Rattus norvegicus: one gene and its partner. The protein of the gene in region 1 interacts with the protein of each later gene in a pairwise test. Links are inferred from orthologs where the notes say so. Each region holds a gene or a part of one and is shown in the gene's direction. Other genes may lie near its edges.

Region 1 (4,353 bases):
TGGGGCCTGCATTCCTATAGCTGTAGTCTTTGAACAAAACTTTAGCCTTTGTTTACCAAAGAATTCATAGGGCTCACTTTCTTTACTTTGGTACCACTCTCAGAGATCAACCCAAGTAAAGTGAATCAGTGATAAATTAGTAGGCAATTAGTACTTGCTTTTTTTTTAAAAAAAAAAAAAGGTTTATTTATTATTTCATGTATGCGAGTACACTACAGCTGTTTTCAGACACACCAGAAGAGGGCATCAGATCTCATAACAGATGGCTATGAACCACCACATGGTTGCTGGGATCTGAACTCAGGAGCGCTGGAAGAGCAGGCAGTCCTCTTAACCACTGAGCCATCTCTCCTACCCTAATACTTGGTTTTCAATTTTCAGGTTTATTCACTGAACCATATTGTAATTAGCCATTTGGTGGGCTGAATCATATTAACTATTTTTCTTCAAATCACTTTTTTGGTACTCACATCTATCAATAAGCACTCATATAGGTTCCTAAAACCTTTCTTTTCTTTCCAGAGGCCACACCGAGAACACTGTCTTGAGCCACCTCAATTTGGCGACATTTGGTGCATGTGTCTGGAATTTTATCTTGGTGACTAGCTCCCTAGGCCAAACCAAGACTGGTAGTTTGTCAAGTAGACATTATTTCCAGGTAACACAAACACATAACTTTGAGAAGCCAATTATAGACAGGACACCATCCTTCCTATCACAAGTTCTGGCTGAGGCGTGGAAGTTCCTAGCTGGGAAGTGGGAAAGGTGCCTGGAGGCCCGCAAGGAACCATGCTCTGGAATTTAACCCTGGCTGGTAGGGTGGGGACTCCAGGAAAGTCAGTGAAACCACCCTGGGGGTGTGGCTCCAGGCGTGCAATCCTGGAACAACTTCAGGCCCCTCTAGATCTAAGCCTTTGGGAGTTCTGTATTGGGACTGACTTATCTCCAGCTCCTGTCCCTGAGTGGGTGGCTTTGCGTGGCCACTGTCCTCAGTCTCTAGGACGCGCCTCCCCGCGAGAACCCCCTCTCCGCTTTTTCTGCATCAATTTCCCCAAAAGAACCAGTGACTTGGGGGAAGCTCGTTTTCCGGCCCGGATTTGGACAGACACGCATCGAGGTCTCCCTGAGCTCCAGTTGGTGGGGGGGTCGTCTCTCAGGAGGAGACACCAGACTGGGGGGACAGACACCCCACGCCACCCATCTCGCCCCTGCGCCGCCGCCGTCCAGCCGCGCAGGGGCGCTCCGGGGCCTCCCGGCCCCCGCCGCGCCGCTCCCGCGCTCCCCCTAGCGGCCGCCGCGCTGCCTCGCTCTGTCCCAGGCTCGTCGGGCGGCGCAGCTCACGTGACCGCGCTCCGGGCCTGCGGCCGCTGTCGGTTCCCCCAGTCACCGAGCGAGAGGGAAGAAACAAGATGGCGGCTGCAGGCGATCCGGAGCGGGGCCCCGGCAATTCGGACTGAGCCTTCTCTCTCCACCCCGCCGCTGCCGGGCCGCGCCCCTCCCGCCCGGGCCCCGGCGCCCTCCCCTCCCCCTCGGCCCCGGCGCCCCCCGGCGCCCCTCCCCCACCCCTTCCGCTCCCCCCCCCTCAAGCCGCGGCTCCGACATGAGGGGCCGGCGGGGCAGGCCGCCCAAGCAGCCCGCGGCTCCTGCTGCGGAGCGCTGCGCCCCGGCCCCGCCGCCGCCGCCGCCGCCACCACCGCCACCACCACCGCCGCCGCCGCCGCCGCCCGCCTCCGGACCCATCGGGGGGCTGCGCTCGCGGCACCGCGGCAGCAGTCGGGGCAGGTGGGCCGCCGCCCAGGCTGAGGTGGCGCCCAAGACCCGGCTGAGCTCGCCCAGGGGGGGCGGCCGCAGGAAGCAGCCACCGCCGCCGCCGGCCTCCGCCAGCAGCGCCAGCGGCCCGGGCCGGGGGGGCCGAGGAGGCGGGGGCGGCAGGACGGGGGGCGGGGGCGGCCACCTGGCCCGGACCACCTCGGCCCGCCGTGCCGTCAACAAAGTGGTGTACGATGACCACGAGAGCGAGGACGACGATGAGGAGGAGGACATGGTCTCGGAGGAGGACGAAGAGGAGGAGGAGGATGGCGACGCCGAGGAGACCCAGGATTCCGAGGACGACGAGGAAGATGACATGGAAGAAGACGACGATGACTCCGATTATCCGGAGGAGATGGAAGACGACGACGACGACGCTAGTTACTGCACGGAGAGCAGCTTCAGGAGCCATAGTACATACAGCAGCACTCCAGGTACCCACCCAGGCCGCCTGGAGACTCCTTCCCCACCTCCTCCCCTCCCCCTGGCTTGCTCCCTCTCGAGTGCAGTGCATCCTGCTTCCTAGCTCCCCCCACTCCCGGCCTGTCCCCCACGCGGAGGCCACGGCGCGTCTAGTGACAAAAAAAAAAAAAAGAAAAAGACAAAACAAAACTAGATTTGCAAGAGGAAAGAGGCGCATTGTTCAAAATGGAGATTGCATTGTTGCAGTTTGCAGGCCACACACTCGTTCGCTCTTCTTCTCCCCCCCTCCCTCTCTTTCCTCTTCAAAATTTGTGCCAAGTGCGGTGTCTCCACCAGTCAGGATTGAAACTTTGGCACACACGTATCCATTGAGCTCGTCTTTCTCTCCTTGTTTTGGTATGAGTGTTTTATTTATTTATTTTGCAATGAAAGAAGCCTCCTGCTTTGCAAACCGTTGCATGTCTAATACGTTTTGTTGTAGATTTGAAAGAAAAATGACCTGGTCCTTAAAAGTGAGAATTTAGATCGTGGCAGCACACATAGACGTGCTTCCTTTCCTATCCCCTAGTTATATAGTTTGGTAACTGTTTTGGGGGAAGGGTTGTTTTTCGGTGAGCAGGGAGCTTCCTGGGGTCCTGAGCGCTTGTTTGTGTTCTTCGAGTGAGCCCTCGTGGTCGCGTGCAACAGTTGCTGGTAAATGGCTGATTGAAGAGCAAAGCAGAGAACTAGACCAAACCAAATTTGTCAATCCTTCCGATTTAAAATTACTTTGGTTAAGTTCCAAATAAAAGTTTAACACCACGGGGGCCGTGTGTCCTAACCAGTTTGATCTTGGCTTTGCGTGGGAGATGCAGTTTCGTGGCACCTGTTGCCGAAGATGTGTGGTTGATCATCTAGGCGCAATTGCCAAAGATGAACTTTTTGAAGTCACGGTCTAGAAGTGTCAGCTTGAACCTGACAGGACTTTTTCTTGCTGTTCTGTTTCTGAGGAAAAAGCCCTACCTGGATCAGCAGTGGGTTTCATCAGTAGTGGTGAATTCTCGGATGTTTTTTCGCATTATTTCTTGAGGTTGGCCCTGAGATGTGTGTCTTGTTCAAGTAAAAGACACACATGCAATTGCTCCTTTGTATTAAATGAATAGTTATGGGACTGGGGGGGGGTGGTCCTTAACTTGTAGCAACAGACTGTCAGGCTTTTTTTTTTTTATGTCTCTATTAACCAGGATTCATAAAATTAAGGTCTAATTGTAAGGACATTTGCAGAGTAAATGAGGACATAGGGTCTTTCTAGGAGAGTCTGTCTTACTGTTTTCAGGGACGATGAGGGTACTAGGAGTGCTTAAATGTAAGTGTTTTCGTTTTTTATAAGTTCCTAACTGCTGCAAGTATGAGAATTAAGCCAGATTAGATTGGTTAACACCAAGTGAAAAAAGCCAATTTCTTTTGCCTGACTGTAAGAAGGTTGCCTATTTTATGGGCTTGGAGGGAGGCTATCTTTTTTTTTTTAATAAAGATTTATTTATTGTATATAAGTACACTGTAGCTGTCTTCAGACACATCAGAAGAGGGCATCAGATCCCATTACAGATGGTTATGAGCCACCATGTGGTTGCTGGGATTTGAACTCAGGACCTTAGGAAGAGCAGTCAGTGCTCTTAACCACTGAACCATCTCTCCAGCCCGGGAGGCCATTTTTTAGCAAGTTTAATTTCTTGCTTACTTAGTTTAGAGTGTCTTTTATAGGTTTTTACTGTAAGAAACAACATGTTGGGCATCTGTATCAAGAGCTCAGAATCGAACTGAAGACTGCCCACAGCAGTGGGGGAAGTTAGTTTTTGGGTTAGGACTCAGGCATTTTGGCTGGGCAGTTAAGCTAACTTTTAACTCCTTGAAGACCTGGCCAATAGTACCGATCAGTTGAAGGCCATTAAAATGCTGAATTAAATTGCAATTTGTGGTTAAAGATCCTTTTTAAACAACCATGTAAAATTTGGGAAATTTTTTTTTGTAAATAGGTTTTTATTTTGTTTTGTTTTGTTTTGAGAGACAGGGTCTCTACATAGCCCTGGCTGTTCTAGTACTCACTATATAGATAGATCAGGCTGGCTTTGAACTCACAGA
Region 2 (4,322 bases), on another chromosome or scaffold:
TGCTGAATGAAGGCTCAGCTCGGGATCTGCGAAGCCTGCAGCGAATTGGCCAGAAGAAGGCCCAGCTCATTGTGGGCTGGAGGGAGCTGCATGGCCCCTTTAATGAGGTAACGGCCTAGGAAGACAGGTGCACTGAGGTGTCCCCGTTCTTTGTCCACCTCCTTCCTATTGTTGCTGTCCCTCTAGGTGGAGGACCTGGAACAGGTGGAAGGCATCTCTGGGAAGCAGGTAGAGTCTTTCCTGAAGGTAAGGCCACCTTTGCCCTTTCTCTACCGGCCTGCATGTTGTAATTCCACCCCAGACCACCTTCGGCTGTTACATTAACGCACTTTCCTCTTCTTTACAGGCGAATCTCTTGAGCTTGGCTGCCAGCCAGCACAGTGGTCCCTCTTGACTACCAGCTCTTGACACTACCTTTTTCTTTTAAAAATTCTTGTATAGTGATGTTGTGTAAATACAGCTTTTATTCCGTGCTTGAGCCTGATTTTTGATGGCAGGGCTGTAGGGAGAACCTATAACTACCTTGGGGGTCAGGATCAAGCTCTGCGGGACACCCATTGGCGCCATGTTTGGGGAACCCCCAAACTAGGCCAAGATTGTAAATAAAACACTGGATTGGGGAGGGGACGGTGGCCTAGAAGAATCAAAAAGCTGAAGCGGAAAGCTTAAGCACAGCGACCGTTAAGCGAGCACGCGCTTTGAGTTAGCCCCGCCCCGCTGTACTCCCTCGGCGCGCTCCCCATTCTCCCGCTCAGCGACGACGTCCGTGTTATGTGCGCGTGCGCGCGAAATAACGGCCGCTGGCGGAGGGAAGTGGGGGGTGGAATCGTTCAAGTGGGGGAAGAGAAGCCGCCTAGTCTCCCGCGCGCCCACCACCTGCACCATCGCCAGCCAATCAGCAACCGTCTCGGGGGTCTCGCGCTCGGGGCGGCTAGGGCTGCTGGGTGGCTACCCCGTCCCTCCGCCCTCTAGAGTCCCTCCTGTACTTCCCCCTCCCGCTGGCCCCGCGCGCACTCGCGCTCGCGCCCGCTCCAGCCTCTTGTGTGTCCTCGCGCCCCCCGCCCGCCCTCCGGCGCGCAGTGTGCTCCGCTCCCCCACCCTCCTCCCCCCTCCCTCCTTGCGCGCCTCCTCCCCGGGTCCCCCCTCCCCCACCGCTGCCTCCTCCCGCCCCGGGGTGAGCGCGAGCCACCTCCCTCCTCCCTCCGCCATGGATCCCAGCAACTGGAGCAGCTTCATCTTCCAGGTAACAACCCCCGCCCCCCCGCCCCTGCCCCCCCTCCCACACCCCCTCCTGCCCGCCCTCCCTCCTGTCCCACACCCCCTCCGCGCGCCCGGTGCGCGCGCAGCTGTCCCCCTCCCTCCCTCGCGCCCTCCCCCGCCCTCCCCGAGGCGCCGGCTGGGCGCGCGCGCGCGGCGGGGGCCGAAGCTGCTCCCTCGCTCCCCCCACCCCGCCCCGCCAGGCTCCAACTGCCGCCACCACCGCCGCCGCCGCCCGGGCCCCCGCCCCCGGCCCCGGCCCTCGGCCCCGCGGGGCCTCTCGCCCCCACCCAGGGGGCGTCGCCTCCGCCGCCGCGCTCCGCGCCCCACAAGACGCCCTCCTTCCCTCCCTCCCGCCGGCCGGGGTGCGCGGGCGGCGGGGCGGCCCTCGGGCCATGCGTTCGGCTCGGCCCAACCCGGCCGGCCGGGGGCGGCGCCCCGAGCCCGGGCCCCGCGCGGCCCGTGCCCCCGGCTCCCGCTGAGCACCGGGGGCCCCACTGTGGCCGAGGCCATGTTCCCCGTGTTCCCTTGCACGCTGCTGGCCCCCCCCTTCCCCGTGCTGGGCCTGGACTCCCGGGGGGTGGGCGGCCTCATGAACTCCTTCCCGCCACCTCAGGGTCACGCCCAGAACCCCCTGCAGGTCGGGGCTGAGCTCCAGTCCCGCTTCTTTGCCTCCCAGGGCTGCGCCCAGAGTCCATTCCAGGTGAGTAGGGGCCGGGCCGGGCGGGCAGGCGCCGACCAGCGACCGCGGCCCACACGGCGCCTTGTCTCCGCAGGCCGCGCCAGCGCCCCCACCCACGCCCCAGGCCCCGGCGGCCGAGCCCCTCCAAGTGGACTTGCTCCCGGTTCTCGCCGCCGCGCAAGAATCAGCCGCAGCGGCTGCAGCTGCTGCGGCTGCTGCCGCTGCAGTGGTTACTGCACCCCCGGCCCCTGCTGCCGCCTCCACAGTGGACACAGCGGCCCTGAAGCAGCCTCCGGCGCCTCCTCCACCACCCCCTGCCGTATCCGCACCAGCCGCCGAGGCCGCGCCCCCCGCCGCGGCTGCCACTATCGCCGCAGCGGCTGCCACCGCTGTTGTCGCCCCAACCTCGACGGTCGCTGTGGCCCCGGTTGCATCTGTCTTGGAGAAGAAGACAAAGAGCAAGGGGCCCTACATTTGCGCTTTGTGCGCCAAGGAGTTCAAGAACGGCTACAACCTCCGAAGGCACGAAGCCATCCACACAGGAGCCAAGGCTGGCCGGGTCCCCTCGGGTGCTATGAAGATGCCCACGATGGTGCCCCTGAGCCTCTTGAGCGTCCCCCAGCTGAGCGGGGCCAGCGGGGGTGGGGGAGAAGCCGGGGCTGGCGGCGGCACGGCCGCGGTGGCGGCTGGTGGTGTTGTGACCACGACTGCCTCTGGAAAGCGCATCCGGAAGAATCACGCCTGTGAGATGTGCGGCAAGGCCTTCCGCGACGTCTACCACCTGAACCGACATAAGCTGTCGCATTCGGACGAGAAGCCCTACCAGTGCCCTGTGTGCCAGCAGCGCTTCAAGCGCAAGGACCGCATGAGTTACCACGTGCGCTCACATGACGGCGCTGTGCACAAGCCCTACAACTGCTCCCACTGTGGCAAGAGCTTCTCCCGGTGTGCAGGGGCCTCGGCTGCCCACTAGGCCGATGGTGGGGGGAGGGCAACAAGGTGGCCTATCTTTGGCTGGTGGGGAGGCGGCTCCCGTTCCTGGGGACAGGCACCACTCCCAGGGAGGAGGGAAGTGAGCCTCGTGGTTATTAGGAACAGGGGGTGGTACTTTTGTAGAAGAGGTGGGTCTTTGGGCTGAAGGAAAGTAGCCTCTGGGCAGAAGAGGAATCTTGGTTTGAGAGCTCTCCTGCCTGAGGACTGAAGCTGTGGGGAAACGCTGGGACTTTGGAAAGGAATTTTGGAGGAACCTAAGTAGATTTGAGGCACACCTCACCTTGTAGCCTTAGCCCTAACACACGCCCCCTCCCACCTCAACATGTCCTTAGGCCGGATCACCTCAACAGTCACGTCAGACAAGTGCACTCTACAGAGCGGCCCTTCAAATGTGAGGTAGGAAGCCCGCTTCCTCCTGTCCTGGTTTTCATGATTTTGATCCTCATTGTAGCTGTGTGGGTTCAGCCTCTCAGACCCCCTTTTTCTCTCTCTTTTTGCCTCTTCACTCCATTTTCACATTTCTTCTTCAAGGCCTGGTCATCTCACGCCCATTTCCTACAGATCAAAGATCCCCAAGGCTCTGATCCCTTTATCTTGCTCCCTTCTCTCTACTCCCCGAAGCTTTAACTCTCCTGTGACCCCCCACACCCTCCCCCCCAGAAATGTGAGGCAGCTTTTGCTACGAAGGATCGACTCCGAGCGCACACAGTACGACACGAGGAGAAGGTGCCATGTCATGTGTGTGGCAAGATGCTGAGCTCAGCTTATATTTCGGACCACATGAAGGTGCACAGCCAGGGCCCTCACCATGTCTGTGAGCTCTGCAACAAAGGTACATGCTAAGGGATGCTAGGAGGGCAGGGATAAAGTGGGGTTGGGTGGGCACAGAGCTGTTGGTTTTTTCACTGATTTGGGTCAAGGGTGCTGCAGCCAAGAGCTCGTGGCGTGTAGAGAACCCTTTAAGAAGCAAGCACAACACCATTGGAAGCAACTGAACATCACTAAATTAAGTACCATGGCTCACAGGAGGCTGTCCACCAGAAACTCAGCCTCTTGGGTGTGCTTGGGGAAAATGAAGTGGGACGCGGTTGCTTTGAGAAAGAAATCACCAAAAAACCTGTCCCCAGGGTTTCAACTTTGCAGCCACAAGTTCTTGTCTCCAACTCTTGGGGCAGGTGGAGTAGATGAGCATGGGTGTAACAAGCCCTACCCAGTAACAGAACCTGTTTTCAATGTGGTTATTTACTAAAGGAGCTGAGACTGGGGCACTGGATGGGGGGACACAGCCGTCTCTACTGAGAGTCAGCCCTTTAGAAAGCTAGGCAACAGCGTGCTGTCATGGGGGAAGGTCTCTGTAGGTATTAAGGGTTAAGAAATGGGTACCACTCGG

What was found.
Region 2: the proteins of Bptf (region 1) and Maz interact in a two-hybrid assay, tested with the Homo sapiens proteins (2 studies listed by BioGRID). The link is inferred for Rattus norvegicus from reciprocal best matches to the Homo sapiens genes BPTF and MAZ.

Annotation. Positions count from the first base shown.
Region 1 is NC_086028.1:92,579,442-92,583,794, reverse strand, and holds the start of Bptf (bromodomain PHD finger transcription factor), read left to right. Parts: upstream 1-1,381; 5' UTR 1,382-1,600; coding exon 1,601-2,243; intron 2,244-4,353. UniProt on the Homo sapiens protein: Regulatory subunit of the ATP-dependent NURF-1 and NURF-5 ISWI chromatin remodeling complexes, which form ordered nucleosome arrays on chromatin and facilitate access to DNA during DNA-templated processes such as DNA replication, transcription, and repair.
Region 2 is NC_086019.1:191,062,026-191,066,347, reverse strand, and holds the start of Maz (myc-associated zinc finger protein), read left to right. Parts: upstream 1-1,458; 5' UTR 1,459-1,768; coding exon 1,769-1,960; intron 1,961-2,033; coding exon 2,034-2,884; intron 2,885-3,264; coding exon 3,265-3,328; intron 3,329-3,463; coding exon of another isoform or gene 3,464-3,559; exon of another isoform or gene 3,560-3,592; coding exon 3,593-3,764; exon of another isoform or gene 3,765-3,889; intron 3,890-4,322. Other genes in the region: kinesin-like protein KIF22, read left to right, coding at 1-107, 187-324. UniProt on the Homo sapiens protein: Transcriptional regulator, potentially with dual roles in transcription initiation and termination.